Linked DNA regions of Kluyveromyces lactis. The protein of the gene in region 2 binds, or shares a complex with, the protein of the main gene of each other region. Links are inferred from orthologs where the notes say so. Each region holds a gene or a part of one and is shown on either strand. Other genes may lie near its edges.

Region 1 (4,774 bases), on a different chromosome or scaffold from region 2:
GTTTTCAATTGGCATTCTTGAACCTTTCTTATATGTCTGGGGTATTCGGTTATAAGATATTGTGAGGCTAATTCTTGTGTTACCATTTGTGTTAAGTTGAACACGATTGTGATTATAGCCAACCCGAGATGGGTAAAACCCAGTCATTCATTCACCTAAGGCCAGCTGATCTTCTACAAAAGACAGCTGGCAGATCGACTCTACAAACTACAGCGGCAAGCCATGCTGCTTCGAAAGAAACAAAACCTCATATGTTAAGGGTTCATTTGAACAAATATCCTGGTTTCATCGGGCATGCGACTTCAAGGATTAATAGACTATACAACGAGGATTCTTATTCTATGAATATTCTGAAGTTGCCAACAACTATAGCCGAAAGCTCGTTGTTAAACTCAAAAAAATCGATCGCTACTAAGATGAAACTTTGGAAAGAATTACCTCCCCAGAGAAACGTTTTGAATATTTCTATATTTGACGGTCATGGAGGAGATCGTGTCTCTAAGATGCTGGCTTCAGGTTTGCACGATCATATAACAGCTATGGTCCCCATCAGACAAGAGTTTGACGCTGTATTAAAAAAATATCAGGACTTAGTGGGGGGGAAGTACTGGTCGAGGATATACAAAGGTAGAAAGGAGTACTATGAGAGGTATATCAAAAAATGTAACACTAAAGTGGAGCAAGTCCTACTCACGGACGGTGTAGCGCCAAAAAATGGGGCAAGAATGATCTTTGACAAATGGGGAAACATTATTGACAAGACAAGCTTGTTGAGTGAATACGAACGTTTACGTTTGTACATATCCTACCTCAATTATGACTTAAATGAAATATGTGGATTTTCTTCGGATTTAGAACCAGAAGAAGCAATGAAAATATTCACTGGTGGCTCGACTGCTTCAAGCCTTTTTTTAACCTCTTATAATGAAGAAGAATGTTACGATGAATCATTTTTCATTGCACCACAGGGCTTACTAAAACTGGCTGTAACTCAAATCGGTGACACTAAAATTATACTTTGTGACAAGAATGGTATTGCTCATTCTTTGGCTAAAGTTCATCATCCTTCATCAAGTAGAGAGTCCAGAAGACTTGGAGGTCAATTCCAAACTGACTCCTTCGGTGATACTAGATTTTTGAACAATTTTGCAAATACACGATCCTTTGGCGATCGGATCGGAAAACGTGATGGTCTAACGTGCGAGCCGGACATTTATTCGTACCTCATTGGACCAACCAAAATGTTACCACATGCTGAAAGATCAAAATTGCAGTTCGGTGGTGATGAATGTTTCTTATGTTTAGTGACAGACGGAGTAACTGAATTGATGAGCGATCAAGAACTCTGTGATCTCATCACCTCCACAGTGAACAATAGAGGTTTGAAAACTGCTTCTCCACACTTCTGTGCTCAGGAAGTTTTACAATATGTTATGGCTATTAGCTCTAAACATTCTGATAATGCTACTTGCGTAATTCTGCGGTTACCGAACTGGGGAAATTGGCCTGTCATTGATCGCACTGGTGCGATTAGAGAGGAAAAGCTACTAAGTGGTGTATCCGGTGGAGAAAGATCTAGTGGTTGAAAAAAGTCCACAAACTTAATCATAAATTAAATTCAAAAGAAACCTCAAGTAAAGAGTGTATATTCTATTTTACTTCAATTATTATATATAGTACTCGTTATGATTAACATTTGCATCTATTTAACAATGAGAAACACCATTAACTCCCAATTAATCGAGAGCACTTGTTCAATAAATCATTTCTTAGTAATAGATACAGTTACGTATGGAGTACACGGTGGTACATGAACTTCCAGGTGTGATTTTATATACATGCTGCTGTCTGACTAACTTTGTGCTTTTCATAAATGTCAAATCATTTGTTCTTAGTTTGAGTATAACTGAATCTCTTTCTTGTTGGTACGAATTCTCCTAGCTTACTTCCTACCATATCTTCTGTCACTTCAAACGCGACATACTCCTTACCATTATGCACTTGGAATTTCAGTCCGACAAATTGAGGTAATATGGTGGCAGATCTGGCATTTGTTCTAATGGGCGTACCTTTGGCCAATGCTTCTTTTATTGGTAATGGGACTATATTTGGACCTTTCCATACAGAACGTGATAGTAATCTCAATGACGGGAACATTTTATGACGTTATGAGTGTTATCGTAGACGCGAGATATTTGTCTAACTGCTGGAACCTTTGGCTGACTGATATCATGGTAGTGACTTAACTCTATTATATCTTGTCGTTATTTCAAGTTTTACAGATTGAAATTTTTTATGAATTCCGTTCTGAAATAAAATAATAGACGAATGGCGATGAGATGTAATATGATGCGATGAGCTTCAGGAATTTAGAAGGTCAGTAACAGCATAGCGACAGCATAACGATAGCATCCAGTCAATAACATGTTTGCTGCAAGGTTTGATCCTACTAAGGTGACTGAAAATGTACTAACAGCTGAAGTCACACAAATAAAAGAACCCACTGTGCCCCAAAAGAGGAAAAGAGATGCGGAAACTGATGATGAAGGCTCTGGTGAGGACGATGCTTCCAGCAGTGAGGATGATGCTTCCAGCAGTGAGGATGATTCCGATACAATTAGTGAGCAAGATGAAAACAAGGTTGCATCTGTTGCGCCTACAGAAACTTCTCAGCAATCAGTTGATGCAAAGCACAGTTCCGTATTAAATAGATTTCAACAGACTCTTTCCCTGCAAGGTGCGTTGAGCGCTTCAGACAAGGTCAGTAGTGACAACGATGTACACGATGAGGACGTATCCATGAAAGATGTTCACAGTCTTACCCCAATTCCTCAACCGGCCAAAGTGACCAATGAAGCCTTGAAGCTTCTAGATCCGTCTACATATAAATCCACTGCGTGGGATGCAGCAACCAAAATTCATTACGATAGTAAAATGGTTAAACAATTCGATAGCTACGAAGGTGAATTAGATGCACGTCTGCTTAAAAATATTACCTCCAATTTCTCATCTGAAACGTTCCCTATTCAGACCATTCTATTCGATAAAGTGCTCCCGCTTCTAAACTCATCTTTTAAAGCAAACAGAAAACTTTTCACAAGACGAGTTGGTGATATATTAGTAAACGCATCAACTGGTTCCGGTAAGACCTTAGCATATTCTGTCCCTTTGGTTCAAATTTTGAGATCTAGAACAGTGAATAAAGTTAGGGCAATAATTTTGGTTCCTACTAAAATTTTAATTCATCAAGTCTACGATTGTCTCTCTAAACTAAGTCAAGGGACCAGTCTCAATGTATCAATGTCGAAACTCGAGAACTCCTTGAAAGAAGAACACAACAAATTTTTGTATAACTCTCCAGACATTCTAATCATCACTCCGGGCAGACTGGTCGATCACTTGCAGATGGAATCATTTGACCTAAAAACTTTGAAGTTCTTAGTCCTTGATGAAGCAGACCGACTATTAAATCAGTCATTCCAAAATTGGAACCAAGTGCTTTTCCACCATTTGACAAACGATAAGCAGGATAAACGTCCAGGAAACGTAATCAAAATGGTCTTTTCTGCTACTTTGACTACGAATGCAGAAAAGTTGTACAATTTGTATCTCCACAACCCCAAGATCTTCCTCACAGATTCTGTTAAATTATATTCAATACCTAAGAAATTGCAAGAACTCAATGTCAATATTCCTACTGCTAAGAGTCTGTTCAAGCCACTACTCTTACTAAGAATAATACACGACATCAAGAGCAGTGCTTCGAGAAACGCTAAAATATTAGTGTTTGTGAAGAGTAACGAAGCTTCGATCAGATTAGAAAGCTTATTACATGCCATGTTAGGATCAGGAATAATTGAAGATGAGTATAATATGTTCCTTTCATCAATTCATTCGAACATCTCGAAGGGTAGTAGCAGAAAACTAATACAGGAATTTGCATCCTCAGAACAAAAGAAATCAGTTTTAATTTCAACGGACATAATGGCTAGAGGTATCGATATAAATGAAATTACTCATGTGATAAACTATGATCTACCGATCTCCTCTCAACAATATGTTCATCGTTGTGGTAGAACTGCAAGGGCTAATACTGAGGGTATAGCAATTAACCTTCTAGTTGGTAAGGGTGAACAGAAATTCTGGTCACAACATATTGACACTGACCTCAGTCGTGACATTGATGGTTATCAACCATCTGCTTACCTTGACGAAGAAAAGTTGTCTGAATTATTCTCTATTGAAGACACTTTGAAGGATACGTACAAGGGTTGTATCAAACAACTCCAAACCAGCAAAGAAGCAGACAGTAAATAGCATATTATCACTAAATAAGTAAAAAGATCATAGTAACTGTACCCCATTCTTGGGGCTCGTCTAAGTGATATTTGAGAAGGCACTAATGATCTTATACTTACTATCTATTTTGCCTCTTCTGATGAGTTGATCATGTGACATGTTATTTATTGTTCGAGCAGTGTTTTTCCTCCACTTTAGAACTTTCTTTACCTTAAATTGATATGTGATTGATCGTTCAGAATCACTGAAACACTATAAACCTTCAAAGTACCTTAGGCAGGTTAAACTGTCTTAACTAGTGCTTGTTAACACATATAAGTAGTCAGAGAATAACCGCTAGATACTTCTGATGTCACCGTCAAAATATTTACTAACTCCTCCGGAGGAATTACATCCGCTCACCGACTCCAACCCACAAATCTATCCTGATTTTGATCCGTGGATTCACACCAAAGAGGAGGATAAGATACTTAAA
Region 2 (5,342 bases):
AGGTGACCGTGGGGAAACCCCTAATAATATTGTAGGGTTTGCAGGGAAAGAATATTATTATATATAATTTATTAATTATAAATTATATAATTATTGTTCATTTAATCATTCTAAGAATGCTGGTAATGAAACTGCTTCAATTTTAATAGGCATAGCTGAATGTGATTGTCCACAAATTTCTGAACATTGTCCATAGAATACACCTTCTCTTTGAATTAAAGCTGATACTTGATTTAATCTACCAGGAGCTGCATCAATTTTAATACCTAAACTAGGTACAGCAAAATCATGAATAACATCAGCTGCTGTAACAACAAATCTAATATGTGTATCAACAGGTACTACTACTGAAGTATCAGTATCTAATAATCTTAATTGACCATCTTCTAATAAATCTTCAGGAATAACATATGATTCAAATTCTACTGTTTCACCATTATCATTAATGAAATCTGAGTATTCATATTTTCAATATCATTGTAAACCAATAGCTTTAATAGTCATTGCTGGAGAAATAACTTCATCACATAAATATAATAAAATGAATGAAGGGAAAGCAATAATTAATAAAATTACAGCAGGGAAAATTGTTCAAATAATTTCAATAGTTTGACCATGTTTAATATATTTATAAGCAATAGGATTTTTACTATAAGTTCTTACAATTGTAAATAATAATCATGATACTAATCCTAAAATAATAAATAAATAGAACATAATATTATCATGTAATTCTAAAATACCTTCTTGATTAGGTGTAGCTGAATCTTGGAAATACATACCATAAGGTGTAGGTACATCATTCATAATAATTGAATTTAATAAATAAAACATATTTATAATTTTTTTTAATCTATATATATTCTATATATTAGATATTACATTGATTAATATATTATTCTCCCGCGAACTCATCCAACTAATGTTTTGATGAGTTCGCAATTAGGAAAAAAACTTATTAATAATAAATTATTATAAATAATTATAATAATATTAAATAAGTATATTGATATATTATTATTAAATTTTTATATTTTAATTGATATATTTAATATATATTAGAGATACGAGATTTGAACTCATGTCCTTCGCGTGTAAAACGAATGCTCTGCCAATTAAGCTAATCTCTATTATTATTATTATAATAATATTATACTTACTTATATCTATATAATAATATTATATAATAATTATTATAAATTCCCCCAATTGCGTATTCCTCCCCACCCCCCTTAAAGGGGGTGGGGTTTATTAATTATATTAACTCCGGGGACTCTTCCCAGGTATACACCTTATGGGAAGGAGTCCCCGGGAGAAGAGTATATAAAATTATTTATACACCCCGCGGCTTATTCCCTGGAATTCCAGGGAATAAGTCCGCGGGAAAAGTATTATAAATAAATTAATAAATAAATAAATAAATAAATAAATAAATTATTAATACTAATAATAAGTATTATACCCCGCGGGAAAATGTATATTATATATTTATTTATATATAAAATTAATAATATAAAATTAATTTTTATTAGTATTTAGAGGTCCTTAAGGAAATAGTAAGGAGAACGCGGGAAAGATATATATTAATTTATTATATATTATAAAATATTTATATTTTTACCCCCCCCTTCATATAATATGAAGGGGGGATTATATGTATATATTAATTTATTATATATTATATAATTATATAATTATAATATAAAGAAAGAAGCCCCACGCGGCATTACCCTAGGGTAATGCCGCGTGGGGGAAGAATATTGATTATTTATTTATTATTATTAATTAATAAATTAAATAGTATTTAATTTAACTTTAATATTATATTTACCATTTTTATTAACATCAGAAATATTAGTAATATTATGGTTAACAGGGATATAATTTAATTTATAATTATTAACCATTTGATTACCTCAAATATATTTATAGTTTTGGAATGTACCATTTAAAATATTCATTGTATTAGATCTAGAAATAGATTTATTATTAGATAATCTACCTTTTAATTGAATTGATCATCCTACTAAATATTTAAACATTAAAATATTATTAGGGATAGTATTAATATTATTATTTTCATAAATAATATTATATAATTTCCCCGCGGCTCCTCCCCTGGGATTACCAGGAGAGGAGTCCGCGGGGTTATTATTATTATTATTATTAATTGATTTAATAATATTATTATATTTATTAAACATAATATTATTAATATTATTAATATATGTTTGACTAATTAATTTATCATTTAATTTAGGCATATTATTCATTAAATTTTTAATTCTATTCATTGATAAACTTCTTTTAGAAGATGAATTCATAATTTTTAATGATTTAGCTAAAATATCACTATTCATATAATTATATTTTAATTGAATAGGTTCAAATGATACATCTTTATTATAATATAATGATAAAATATTACTAATACTATTAATGTTATTATTTAATAAATTAATTAATTTACTATTAATATTAAATTTATAATTACTATAAATATTATTAATTAAATTATTGTTATTATTAATATTTTTATTAATATTTTTATATGATAAATAATAGAAAAATTTAATATTAACTTTATTAATACTATGTTCAAAGATAGGTTTAGAAATAATTAATTTATAAATTTTATTATTAATATTTAATACTAATAATTTTGTTAATAATTTAGTTACTAATCTATCATAAATAGTATTATTAATTTCTTCAGTTTTATTAAATTTATAAATTTGAGATGATCAAGAATTAATATTATTTAAATGTTGTAATTTTACACCTTTATTACTTAATTCATTTAAATAATCTCAAATATAAGTTTTATTTAAAGATCTATTTAATCTTTTATTATTTAATAATAATAATAATTCTTTTATAGAATTTAAATTGTTTATATTATTAATATTTTTAATAATATTTAAATTTGTTGTATGTTTATTCATTGTATTTATATTTATTTATATATATTGATCGTATAATATATATATATAAAACTATATATATATTATTATTAAATTATTAAAAAATTTAACATGTTTATTATATTTACTACTTATAAATATAAAATAAAATATTTATTATATATTTTATAAATTATGTATATTCCGCGATATCATCATATGATGATATCGCGGGAAAGAGATAAATTCCCGCGGATCCTCTACTGGTAATACCAGTAGAGGATCCGCGGGGTAAGATAATATATTCTATTTATAATTATTATTAAAGAGATAATCTATTTTATTTCCCCCCCCCCCAATCTCATATTATGAGATTGGGGGGAATCGATATATAAACCCCGGACGCCATCGTCCGACCGTAGGGTCGGACGAGGCGTCCGGGGAATTGTATTTATTTATATAGATCTATTATATATAATAATATAATTATTAATCGCCAAATACCCCTATTATAGGGGTATTTGGCGATACTAGATATATATTTAATATTACTAATAATATACTATATATAAATAGTTTTCATAATTAACTTTTCCCCATTGCGGACTCCTCCCTTCGGGGGGGGGGGAGTCCGCAATGGGGTTTATAAGTAAGTATAATATAATAATAATTATATTAAAATATAAATATTATCATATATATATATATTATATATATATATTAAGTAATATTATTTCTATAAATTAAATTAACATTTAAATTTATAAATGTATAGATTATAAAAATATTTATGACACATTTAGAAAGAAGTAGACATCAACAATTTCCCTTTCATTTAGTAGCTCCATCACCATGACCAATTGTAGTATCATTTGCATTAATGTCATTAGCATTATCATTAGCTTTAACTATGCATGGATATATTGGACATATGTATTTAATTTATTTATCAATTTTAACAGTAACATTAAGTGCTACATTATGATTTAGAGATATTATTGCTGAAGCAACATATTTAGGAGATCATACAATTGCTGTTAGAAAAGGTATTAATTTAGGTTTCTTATTATTCGTAGTATCAGAAATTTTAATTTTCGCTGCATTATTCTGAGCTTATTTCCATTCAGCTATGAGCCCTAATATTGAATTAGGTGGTGTATGACCTCCAGTTGGTATTCAAGCTGTACAACCTACAGAATTACCTTTATTAAATACTATTATCTTATTATCTTCAGGTGCTACTATTACATATAGTCATCATGGATTAGTAGGTGGTAATAGAAAAAATGCATTATCAGGATTATTAATTACATTCTGATTAATTGTTATTTTTGTTACTTGTCAATATATCGAATATACTAATGCTACTTTCACAATTACTGATGGTGTATATGGATCAGTATTCTATGCTGGTACAGGATTACATTTCTTACATATGGTTATGTTAGCAGCAATGTTAGGTATTAATTATTGAAGATTAAGAAACTATCATTTAACAGCTACTCATCATGTAGGTTATGAAACAACAGTGTTGTACTGCCATATTTTAGATATCATTTGATTATTCTTATATATTGTATTCTACTGATGAGGTGTATAACTCATCAGTACAATATATAAGAATATCTTTAAACAATAATATTCTTACCTTTTTTATATTAAATATATAAATAAATATATAATATAATATTAATATAATACTATTATAAGTATTGCCCGCGGCAATCCTAAATAGGATTGCCGGGGAATTAGAACTACCCGTGGCACCCCCCCAAGTATATCCTAAAAAGCCCCCCGTCAAATATATTATAATGTGTCCTAGATATATTTATTTATTATGACGACTATTAATAATATGAAGTACAAGCCCAATGTCATCAGGGGGGAGGGGGGGGATTTTTTTTTTTTTTTAAAAAAATAGTTCGTAGCGTACTATCATTTTTTTTTTTTTTGGGGGGGGGGGGGAGGGTGAAAAAAAAAAAAAACCCCCCCCCTCCTCTTATTATCCCTCATATCCGAAGTGGTACTTAACTCTAAGAATAAGACACTAGTTTTTTATTTATAATCGTTATATATCTTTTTCCTCGCTCTCTTTTTGTTAATATTGATTATTCTTTTCTTTTTATTTTATTATTGTTATTAAATTTTATTTTCCTATATATATTTATTCATTAACTATTCTTTATATTTCATTATCTCCCTTTAGACTATCTTACACAGATGCTACCTAATTATTTATTCTGTAATATTTTCTCTTTATTTTTGTTTTGTTGTTTTTTTTTATGTTTTATATTCTTCTTTATATCTTAACAAATGAAGTTAGTTTTATAAGGAATCTGGATCTTTTTAAGTTATCGGTCAATCACCGCTTTTCTGATCAGTAAATAATCACTAATACACTTTACTCTGCCTCTATGTGTCATCTCCTCCAACCCTTTC
Region 3 (5,530 bases), on a different chromosome or scaffold from region 2:
TTCATGGTTTACCAACCCAAGATGAGATAATTCAGGAGGCTGGAGTGGTTTACATTCGAGAACCACATTATTATGCACAGCATAATTAGTGTATAGATTAAGCCTATGTTTATCTACCTCTTCAGTCTGAATATTATTTTTCGAACACAACGATTGAATCTGTGTATTCAATGGTCCGTAATGATGCAACTTTACGAAATATTCTCTCTTCTTCGCAGTTAAGGCACTAATTACACTGTTGGTACCAAAAACGTAATCAACCAACGGGTTAGGCTTTAAACCTTGTAAAGGGTGCATTTTAGTATACTCTGACCTATGACTTCTAAACTGTTCCCTTTTGGACGATTCTTCTTGTTTGATCCGATCGTAATACTTTTTCTTCTTATCGAATGGGTCACTTCCTCCGTTATTCAGCCTTGCATTTTTTTCTCTTGCATGAACATGTGCGTAATTTTTCCTGAACCATTTATCTTTATCCATTCCATCTTTCTCCCAAGCCTTAGTCCTCTTATGCACTGGAAAGTTCCGATCGAACGTTACTTTTCTGTCCTTAATATACGATTCGTTAGGCACTTTGACCGCAGAACGAATCTTGTTCGAATAACTTCTTGTGATGTTTCTGAGCATGCTATACTACCAATGGTTTTACTTTATTTGAGTCTGCTATGCTCTTGTTAACAGATAATGTATCTTTTATTCCATGCCTCTCAGCTCATCTCATCTCGGCAATTTTTTGTTATCAAATAGCTTAATCTGAAAAATTTCAGAAAGTCAAGTTTCAAGCTTTTCTTTATTTGTAAAATATTCCAGAAGATGATTCATTTCTTTATCGTAGTAGATTGACAGAAGCGTAAAGGTATATTGGAAGAAGAAAGAAAGTAACTGGCCTCAACATTAGTTTGTGTACTTATAAGAAGCCTAAAAGTTGCTACCATCGTTCATATTTGGCACATTTTGTAAGAATTCCTCGAGAAAGAACTGTCAACCAAAAATGACTTATCCGGAAAGAAAAGCTTTTGTTTCTAGAATAACGAATGAAACCAAGATTCAAATTGCCATTTCATTGAATGGTGGACCAATTTCTATTGAGAACTCTATTTTACAAAGGGAGGAATCCGATGCTGCTAAGCAGGTAACTGGATCCCAAATCATTGATATTCAGACAGGCGTTGGGTTTTTAGATCACATGATTCATGCTCTTGCGAAGCATTCAGGCTGGTCTTTGATTGTTGAATGTATTGGAGATTTGCATATCGATGACCATCATACCACCGAGGATTGTGGTATTGCTCTTGGCCAAGCCTTTAAGGAAGCTTTGGGTCATGTTCGTGGTGTGAAAAGATTTGGTTCAGGATATGCACCATTAGACGAAGCTTTATCACGTGCTGTTGTGGATCTATCCAATAGACCATACGCAGTAATAGAGTTGGGGTTGAAGAGGGAAAAGATCGGTGACCTTTCATGCGAGATGATACCTCATTTCTTGGAGTCCTTTGCTGAAGCCGCGAGAATAACTTTGCACGTTGATTGTTTGAGAGGCTTTAACGACCATCACAGAAGTGAATCTGCATTCAAAGCACTTGCCATTGCAATCAAAGAGGCTATTTCAAGCAACGGAACCAACGACGTTCCTTCTACTAAGGGTGTTCTAATGTAAAATTCCTTTTCAAGAAAGGAGTGGACTCTCATTGCATATGCGCGACATTCATTTTAAGTTTACATCAAATATATATTCATCCATTTTGTTCCATTTAAGTTACGAGCACGGCCCTTAACCGCTTGACGCACAGCTCCGTCTTCCGCGTAACATGACTGTATTTATTACGTTTTATTTACAAGTGACTTCTAGCTATGGTTGTGTAATACCTACCATATATCAACTTACATGGTTGTCTTTAATAAGTTTAGGAACTCTTCACTTTGAGATCTAGATTCTTCGGCGGTGACAGATCTTACAGTTTTTCTTGAAGAGTTTCTGGAATCGGATCTGGTATAATGTGATCTGCTTTGACCTAAGCCGATCTTCTGAGCAAAACTGAAGTCATTTCTTGGTTCTACTAAAGATGCAGACAATGTTACATTACCCCCTTCTACCTTTGGATCTTCAATGGCAAATGGTAAAACTTCTTGTCTGACAAAATCACCCATGTTGTATTGTAGAGCACGAGGATTACGGCCCACAGATTTAGCTTCAGCGATGAAACCACCAACAGCGACTGCGCGATCAGGTCCCTGGACAGATAAAACTCTGCCTGGCACAACGTGCTTTTGTTTTACACCATTTGGAGATTGTCTAAGTCTACCTTTCAAGTTGTAAGTTAGACCACCGGTGCCCACAATGTGCCACTCCGAGTTAGCTGCTGTATTAATATTCAACTTTCCCATCTTTTCATGTAAGAATTCAGTAGCTAAAGCCTTCAAAGGTCTGGTGTTTTCATTTCTAACACCAGCAATGGAATCCGGGTGTTTCTCTAACAGCCACTTCTTGAATTCTGATCTGTGTTGGTCAATTTCTTTCAACTTTCTTGTCTTTTCAGAAGGCGCAGTGTTATGAGCAATGTTCACAGCATTGCTGAATGGCGCGTATTTTCCGGCCCTCTTGGTTTTCCCATTGAATAGAGGATTGGATTCTTCTTCAACGTAACGAGGGGCTAACCCCATTTCTTGGAATCTGATTCTGTTCCACTGGTATTGACCCATTGGTTCAAAAGTCGTTAGTCTTTGTTGGGTGTCCAAATCGTTGTAAACCAAATATCTGGTCTTGATTTTCGATGGAATGCTTGCCTTCAAACCCCATTCCTGACGATATAAGGAGGATGGCTTGGTCTCAATCACTTGATGAGTTGGATGAGAAGAGTTACCTGGACGAAACAATGGCTTGTCCGTCTTTGCCACTTGTGCTATCCTGGAATTTTTTAACAAATTAGATATATGGGACATAGCTTTCTATTTCGAATTGTGAATTCAGTAAGTATATCTGTCTTCAAGCTAAGGACTAACAGCCCAGTTTAAACCCAAAAAGTGAATTATCTATTCAACGAATTGCTGATAGTTTTGGAACCTTGTCACAATAGTCGACGATAGGAACTAATTTAGCTCTTCAGTCAAAATCAGTAGCTGAGCTGTGTTTAAGATTTATCGAATTGAATGCTATTCAATGATATCGAAATTTTTTTATCATTAGAAACGTAACATTTTACCCGGACTTGCGACAGACCATTGATGAAAGTGTCACATTTAGTACTCATTTTAAAGGAAGAATGGTTTCTTAAGTGATGCTAATATTTAAAACGAGATCAGCACCAGTATAACATAAGTCTTCTATGAGGGGTTTCCCATAATCAGAAATCGGTGTTGAGTTTAAATTTTTTTTTCAATTGCATTATTTATTATATTGTTTACTACAGAAAACTATTCATTTTTTCGTAATAATTTCATATCAACAGTTCCTTGGTTTAGTCGATACTGTATGAGAACCTCAGTTTCGTAGAAATGTTTGTACTACTTGACAAGGTTATCAGATAGTTTCGAGCACATGTCTCCGCTATCCAGAAGCTCAACAAAAACTGATTTTTTTCCAGTAACCTCATCAACACAGTAGATGTCACGATCGGTCTGAATGTCAATCTCAGGTGCTCTAATAAAAGGTTTCCAGTTCCCTGTGTAAGCTTTATGACCAAGGTAAAGTACGATGGTAATTGGAACAGCCATATAATTTTGAAGGAATGAGACGACATTCAGCCTACCGTTGGATTCTAAAGGAAACAATGATACCCAAAATTGTACTATCAAAATAATGGCACAAATAAACAACGAGATGTAACTGCCATATACACCACATGGTGATTGATATCCTAATTGGTCTAAAGCTTGATCTTGATCTTTCATTGCCTTTCTGAATCTCAAATGAGACACACAGGTCATACTCCAAGTAAAGATAGTGGAAAGACCGCTGATTGACAATAACCAAACGAAGACTGTTTCCTGGTCCTTATATTCGGCTATGAATGAAAATAAACCAGTAAATGCTGAAACGCAAAGACATCTAAACGGCTTACCACTTTCATCCAATTTACAAAAATATTTCATCGCAAATCCTTGTTCAGCTAAGGAATGTAATGTTCTTGAGCTACTATACATCGCATTGTTTGCGACAGAAATAATAGACAATAGAATAATTGCATTAACAATATGAGGTATTATCCTAACACCATTGGTTGTTAATGCGACCACATATGGAGATGCATGGGTCAGTTCTGATCCAGACCCCATCAAATATGGGGAATTAAAGGGCACTAATAATCCAATAATCATCAAAGAAACGCAAAAAATGATGGCAATTCGTACAACAACTTGTATTGACGCCCTTTTAATACTTCTTGGCATGTCTTCTGTATTCTGTTCAGCACAACTCAAGGCGACAAACTCGGTACCACCGGTACTAAAGCAGGCAGTTATCAACGTTGCAGCAATTGACTTGAAAAGCCCCTCATCGTTTCTAAAGAACCCTGGACTATGGAAATATTTGAAACCCAAATATCCGCTAGTGCCGACAACACCAGTGTTAACGAAAATACCTAAAATTATGAACCCAAGGATCATAAGCACTTTCAAACAGTTGAAAATGCAATCAGCGTCCGCATAACACCTTGCACCAAAGAAATTCACCCCGCATACCAAGGAATAACATAATGCAACAACGATAGAAGGATTGATATTTTCGTTCCAAAAGTTGATAGTCATAGAAGCGACACATATTTCTAATGGCAAAACGACAGTCCAATTTAGAAAAAATAACCAAGAAATGGTAAAGCCCACAGACGGGTCTATGAAACGCTTTCCATAAGATGTAAACCCACCAGGCATACTTGGAAAAGCAACAACAAGCTCACCAACAGTTTGCATGCAACATGTCAACATAATACCAATAATTAAGTAACCAACTAAAGTACCACCAACCCCCGCAATAGCAATTGATCTACCGTTCCCCACTAATAAACCGGTCCCAATACCTGTTGCAGTAGACATCATGAAAACATGAAACGGTTTAATTGACTGTTTTAACTCATTTTTGGGAAGAGTAACATCAGCTGTAGTATCGATACTGTTCGTTCTTGTGGGATCTGAGAGGTTGGAAAAAGTTGCAACTTCTTTTAAACATTCTTCAGTCATTTTTTAATAATTGACTGTTCAGCGAATTAGTGCTGTGATTGATGAATGTCTATTACTCAGGATGAAGTGGAGAGTAGCAGGGAACAGGACGCATCCTCGAAAGCTAGTTTTTTTATATAAGAAGTGATAAATCTGACACGCACCCCGCTCCTGGCAGATTTAATCATCCATATCCGTTATGAAACTCCTTCTAACACAATTTCTGAATTTTTTAGCATTACAGAGCTGATCTAATACCATAAACTCAATTGAAACCTGTTGAAATGCACCATTTCCTGAATACTCTTTGACATATCACAACACTTTTTTTTCTCTTAAAGCTTGAAAAAAAACTGTCGCACGTCAGAAACGCTGTTTG
Region 4 (5,874 bases), on a different chromosome or scaffold from region 2:
CTGCTCAAACCTCTTACAGGCATGTTTCCGCGAAAAGTGATTGCTTAAGTAAGAAAGAAAGAATGCAGTCACGTGACAAATGCTGAAAGTCTTGAAGTCATTAAATACGTTACCACTGCTTCTAGAAATCATTATCGTTCAGAAAACAAAAAGTTTTCATTTCTATAATAAGGATTCCTACATTCTACACGAAACTGTTGCAATTACGAGGCCAATTGAGTGCTATTTTGTGTCAGTTTAATCCGTTATTGTATTGCAGTTTTAAAATAACTCAGCTATCACACATCAAACAGCAGAAACAATGTCCGAAACAATTGAAGGTAACGTTCAAATTCTAAGATTATCACCAGGTGACAGTACCAACTTCCCAAAACCAGGCGATTTGGTAACAATCCATTACACTGGTACTTTGGAAAACGGTCAAAAGTTTGATTCTTCCGTTGATAGAGGTTCTCCATTCCAATGTAACATTGGTGTAGGTCAAGTTATCAAGGGTTGGGATGCTGCTATTCCAAAGTTGTCCGTTGGTGAAAAGGCAAGACTAACTATCCCAGGCCCATACGCTTATGGTCCACGTGGTTTCCCAGGTTTGATCCCACCAAATGCTACTTTAGTCTTTGATGTTGAATTGTTGAAGATTAACTAGATGTATAATGTCATTCTTCTGAATAAAACACATACTATTAATTTCCTTCACATTTTTTCTTTGGTTTCTCCCTTGATTCCTTCCAATTGGTCCCATCCATTATTATTATTATAGCTTTACATCTTTCCGTACCTTCTCATCAACCTTTCAACATGGGAATTGCTATCAAATTGTAGCCGTAGTGTTTGTATGCTTCCATTTTAACATTCAATTTTTGTACATCAACGAAATGCCTATAATATAAACCATTAGCTATATTATGTTGTTATTGCATTATTGAAAAAACAATCAAGAACAACTACTTCCTGCTTCTAAGCCTGCTCGAGAGCCTTGTAGTTGGTTTTGTTATGGATTTTCTTCTTGTTCTCCTAGCTGGAGAATCCACGTCGGCAAGATCTTCAGGAACTTCCTCCGCAGCGGCAACTTTTTGTTTCTTAGGGCGCGGCTGTTGAGATGATTCCGTTTCGTTCTCTTCTGCTTTCCCTGTCGGCGAATTAGCTGATTCCTTGGCAGCACCTTCAGATTCATCAGCAAATGTGACTTGTTTTGTAGCTGTAGTATCTGCGGCATCAGCAGTCGATTCTTTTTCGCTACCAGATCTCCCTTCTGTATCGTGTTCGACATCTTCCTTTTCATCGGTGTTTCCGCCATGGGGTTGGTCTTCTTTGTTTTCACTTTCGTCATCAATGCCTCGCTTTTGTGAACGTGTCAACCTTGTAGAGCGTCTTGTCCTTGGTTTCTTATGAGCATCGACAGGTTCATCGACAGGTTCATTCGCCAGTTCGCTCACAGATTCTCCAACACTGACTGGCGGAGTGGTCGCCATTTCTTGTTTCGCCTGTACATTATTTTGCTCAGTATCCTTTTCATCGATATCCTTTTCTCGTTCCCGTGGCTCTTCTGACTCTTGTTCTACTTGCGTATCCTGTGATTCCGCACCCTTCAGTTTTGCCTTGTCATCCGCAGAAGCGGTCTCCTCTTGCTTAATATCTTCCACCTCATGATCCCTAGCATGTTCTAACATAAGTTCTCCATAATCTTCCCACGATAGTTCAAATTCCGTCTCTTGCTGGAGTCTATTTTGTAATGGTATTATATTTCTCTTAAGCTCGTCACAATTGTCAACATCATTGTCACTGTCATCATCATTATCTAGTTGAGCGTCCCCTTCTGTCTTTTTGTTTGTAGTTTCGGTTGGTCCGTCATCATTATAAAATTCAGGGTATGGCTGGTTCTCTACTTCATCTGCCTTCTCTAAATTATAGTACCGACTCAATTGTTCCCAAACGTCCTCCCCAGAAAACACTTTATCTGAGCTGCCTTTATCGCTTTGCAAAAGTTTGATTGGATACTGATCTGGCTTGTTCAATCGCTCAAGCAAACACACCATATGGAAGTGTTTATGTATTCCTGCAGGTTTGAACAGCATCATCCATTTAAACAGCCTTATTTCCTCCACTTTACTCCATGTTTGCCCTCTAGGTGATTCTATCTTTACAGCGGACATCGCAGTGAACCGTATCGTATTACTTTTATCTGAAGTATCACAACCTTATACACCAAAAGAACGTTCTTGCAATTGATATAATAAAGTTCCTATCAAGATCGCTGATAAAGCAGATCGTATGAGGCTTGATACCATCTTCGCCAGTCCATCTCAATATGGTTCTATGGTGTTTCTCATCTTTCTAAACTATGAATGCTAATATTTGATATCATATGTCACGAAATTCCTCTAAAAATTTTTCAATATCGGAAAGCTTCAAGCATTAGATAGCGTTTGATTGAAAAATATTATGCAGGTAGTTCGGATATGCAATGTATTTCCATTTCGAAGAGTCCGTAAGCAGTCAATTCTGGTTAGTTTTGTCAATACATTGTGAAGAAAAAGACCAGCAATGCCTAGGAAAGCTGTACTTCTGAACTCTTTGTCCAGAGGGAAGGTTCGTACCTCTTTTAACAAGTACAATTTGTTCAACTTGTATAAGAAATCTCAGGTCAGTTTTAGATCGAAAACACTATACCAACAGAAATGGACTTCTAAACAGGAAACTCGTGCCTACCATGGCGAACATTTAACAGAGAGTAGGTGGCAGTCTGTTTTCGAGCCTCAGCTAAACTCTGTGGCTCAATTAGATGCTTCTCTAAGGGGTGGTGATATCGAACCGACGCCCATTCTATTACAAACATACGCTGTACTAGAGAAAAGGCTAGACTTTGCTTTGTTTAGAGCTATGTTTGCCTCGTCAGTGAGACAAGCTCGTCAGTTTATTTTACATGGCAACGTCCATGTGAATGGTGTAAAGATTACTTCTCCGGGATATGCCTTGAAAGCTGGTGATGTTTTCAACGTCAGACCCGAAAAAGTGCTACAAGCTCTTGGTGCCAAGAAACCTAGCTTGAAGGAAGCTTTGAAAGTGGATAATACCCAAATTTTCCTATGGAACAAATATATTCTAGAGGCTAGAAAGAATCCTAGAAAGTTCTGGGATGAAAAGATCGAAAAACTAAGAACTATGGATAGTAACGATCCAAAGAAACAGGAATTTTTATCCTTCCTCGAAAACTACAACAAAACCATGCACATTCAAATGAGGAAAGAATTAGACCAAACCAGTAACGAGTATTTGTTAGCTAAGATCTTTTCTACCGTTAACCGCGTTAACGATGTAGAAAAATTGGCAGTAAAAGATTTCTTGGGCGAATTTTACAATAACGAAAATTTGGCAGCTAAAGGATTCGAAATTTATAGAGAAGTCAAGTCTGCCAAGGCTGTGGAAACGATAGCAGGGAAGCCTTTGGCTGAAATTCCTAATGAACAAGGTGAATTGCTAAAGGTGGCTACAGGAATAACTAAACCTGTTGATAACACAAACGATGCCTTAAAGAAAAAATTCAGAGCCATCAATCATACTATAGTTGATTTGAGACATTTCTATGAAACCGTGGTCAGAGAACATTATAATGACAAGATGGCATCCGTTGATTCTGTTGATATTCCATACGATGCTAAGTGGGCTGAAAAGTTACCATTGCATCAAAAGATCAATGTTCCTGAACTATTGGAAAACGAACCAGCTGCTCAAAAAGCTATCAATTTACCATGGCAAAAGGGTGTGTTTGGTCGTAACGATCCATCTAAACCATATTTCACTCCGTGGAAACCAAGACCCTTCTTAGCACCATTCGCCATTCTACCACACCATTTGGAAATATCATTCAAGACATGTCATGCGGTCTACTTAAGAGACCCTGTTGCACGTCCAGGTCAATCTGAAGTTATTACTCCATTCGGCTTACCTGTACATGAACGTTCATACATGTACTATGTGAGAAGGGGTAAATAAGTTGACGAAAACAAATACACACGAAAGAATGGATACACTGTGACTATGACAATTTAAAAAGAATGGTGTATCTTGGAAACCTTGTACATATTATTATCATTATTTTATCGTATCATATTATATTAATTATATATATATATTTATATGTTCTAATGAGTAAAGAATAAACTAACACCCAGTAACGAGAAGATATACTATTCAGATATTCAACCAGCATGTTCGTAAATCTTGGTTTGTAGTTTACCTTCGACGAAAGTGTGTATCATCTGTTCTGGAAGTGGAACTTCAACGAAGTCACCATCGGGACCAGTTGGAGTGTTGATGTTAATACCAGTGCTAGAAGAGGTGAAAATTTGAGCCTGTAAAGAGTTTTTACTCAAATAAATGGAGCCGCTATCAGACGCGTCGATGGTGATTTGTGGCAGGGTGTTTTCCACTTGAATACCAAATCTCAAACATTTAATAATATCCACACCACTGATGGAAGAATCTAGCACTAAACTGCATTTTTCTGTTTCATTGACAGTAACTGCGTTGACCTTACCTTTGATTTGTACCAATGTGTTGACACATTTACCGATGAAAACAGATTCGTCAATTTTAGTTTCGATCACTAACGGTTCGGCTTCATCTTCATAATTTTCAATAAACCATTTATTACCGATCAATTCCTTTCTTGGAGGCTTCTTAGTCTTCAGAGTAGATGGTTTCTTTGGTTTAGGTGGAGGAACAGCTTTGTCAGAAACCTTCCCTGAGGCACGAAGTTCTGGGTTCTTATGTGTTTGCTGAGACTTTTCTACTTTCTTTAAGGATTTAGTGATGTTTTCACCTTGGTTTAACTCAGCAAACACAGCACCGATTCCACCAGATTCTTGTTCTTTTGATTGTTCATTGACTTCGAATACGGAAGCCGGAGGAGGTGGAGGTGGAGGTGGAGGAGCTCCGGCGCCTGAACTATGCGGCTCACTGGAAGTAGCACCAGAAGAAGAAGCTCCGGATCCCTCGTTGGAAACTCTTTCGTATACGGTTTCGAAATCCTCACCAGTAGTGTCGTTCCAAGTCACACCTGTGGTATGGTATTCCTTAACGTACAGCTTCAAGCTATCGAAAACGGACAAAAATTGTTGGACCCATTCAACGGATTTAGGATCAGTGCTTCTGAATTCTTTCAAGATTCTATTTGTCCAAAACTGGGCAGCGTCCTTGAAATCAGTGATAGTAGACACAGGTGTAGATCCAGCAATCCATGAGAACAGTGGTGATCCCTCAGAGATAGCATTCAAATGAGCGAAATACTTACTGTTACGGTTCTCCTCTTTCAACTCACCAATAGAGAAGATGTTCTCGTTAATTGGGGTCAAACCTTTCACGAATGCAGATGACGAAAAGTCTGGCTTCTTTGATTGTACTGCTGCCTTTAAAAACACCAACTGAGCTTTGAAAGCGTTGGCTAAAAACACCACAGCTTTTTCAACAGTAGGATCAATTTCAGCGGATAATTTAACCAAAGGATCAACGTTCTGTTCAATGAAATGCTTAAATTCTTGAATTGATTTCGGTTCTTCCTCCTTCGATTCACCAGTACTGTTTGGTGCTGTTGCTACCGGTGTTGCGGCTTCTTTAGAAGCTGCTGATGCGCCTGAACCTGCACTAGCAATTCTTTCAGCAGAAGAAGCAGTAACAGAATCAGCGAACCCATCAACCTTACCGTCTTTCTCTAAGCCAAACTTGGATTGAACATAGCCTTCTTGATAAATCGTAACATCCTCCAATCTGGCAGTAGCATCCTCCAATCTCTTCAAAAGTTTTACCAAATTGTACCCCTGCACTGAGAAATTTGTTTCAGTCATTTTCCAACTTGCTTCAATCCACTCAAACGTC

Evidence for each region. Proteins that work in one complex are often made in the same cells at the same time.
Region 1: VAR1 (region 2) and RSM19 share a complex: the UniProt entries of both Saccharomyces cerevisiae proteins name them as parts of the mitochondrial small ribosomal subunit. The link is inferred for Kluyveromyces lactis from reciprocal best matches to the Saccharomyces cerevisiae genes VAR1 and RSM19.
Region 3: VAR1 (region 2) and MRP51 share a complex: the UniProt entries of both Saccharomyces cerevisiae proteins name them as parts of the mitochondrial small ribosomal subunit. The link is inferred for Kluyveromyces lactis from reciprocal best matches to the Saccharomyces cerevisiae genes VAR1 and MRP51.
Region 4: VAR1 (region 2) and NAM9 share a complex: the UniProt entries of both Saccharomyces cerevisiae proteins name them as parts of the mitochondrial small ribosomal subunit. The link is inferred for Kluyveromyces lactis from reciprocal best matches to the Saccharomyces cerevisiae genes VAR1 and NAM9.

What each region holds. Positions count from the first base shown.
Region 1 is NC_006042.1:665,513-670,286, reverse strand, and holds RSM19 (mitochondrial 37S ribosomal protein uS19m), read right to left. Parts: upstream 2,158-4,774; coding exon 1,882-2,157; downstream 1-1,881. Other genes in the region: type 2C protein phosphatase PTC6, read left to right, coding at 129-1,586; putative ATP-dependent RNA helicase DBP6, read left to right, coding at 2,425-4,317; SRB8 (Srb8p), read left to right, coding at 4,649-4,774. UniProt on the Saccharomyces cerevisiae protein: Component of the mitochondrial ribosome (mitoribosome), a dedicated translation machinery responsible for the synthesis of mitochondrial genome-encoded proteins, including at least some of the essential transmembrane subunits of the mitochondrial respiratory chain.
Region 2 is NC_006077.1:34,846-40,187, forward strand, and holds VAR1 (ribosomal small subunit protein), read right to left. Parts: upstream 2,961-5,342; coding exon 1,794-2,960; downstream 1-1,793. Other genes in the region: COX2 (cytochrome c oxidase subunit 2), read right to left, coding at 91-861; COX3 (cytochrome c oxidase subunit 3), read left to right, coding at 3,694-4,503. UniProt on the Saccharomyces cerevisiae protein: Component of the mitochondrial ribosome (mitoribosome), a dedicated translation machinery responsible for the synthesis of mitochondrial genome-encoded proteins, including at least some of the essential transmembrane subunits of the mitochondrial respiratory chain.
Region 3 is NC_006042.1:87,271-92,800, forward strand, and holds MRP51 (mitochondrial 37S ribosomal protein bS1m), read right to left. Parts: upstream 2,941-5,530; coding exon 1,882-2,940; downstream 1-1,881. Other genes in the region: MRM1 (Mrm1p), read right to left, coding at 1-627; imidazoleglycerol-phosphate dehydratase HIS3, read left to right, coding at 992-1,657; KLLA0_F01012g (uncharacterized protein), read right to left, coding at 3,502-5,172. UniProt on the Saccharomyces cerevisiae protein: Component of the mitochondrial ribosome (mitoribosome), a dedicated translation machinery responsible for the synthesis of mitochondrial genome-encoded proteins, including at least some of the essential transmembrane subunits of the mitochondrial respiratory chain.
Region 4 is NC_006037.1:1,005,239-1,011,112, reverse strand, and holds NAM9 (mitochondrial 37S ribosomal protein uS4m), read left to right. Parts: upstream 1-2,544; coding exon 2,545-3,993; downstream 3,994-5,874. Other genes in the region: peptidylprolyl isomerase FPR1, read left to right, coding at 302-646; EAF7 (Eaf7p), read right to left, coding at 945-2,153; SRV2 (adenylate cyclase-binding protein), read right to left, coding at 4,200-5,843. UniProt on the Saccharomyces cerevisiae protein: Component of the mitochondrial ribosome (mitoribosome), a dedicated translation machinery responsible for the synthesis of mitochondrial genome-encoded proteins, including at least some of the essential transmembrane subunits of the mitochondrial respiratory chain.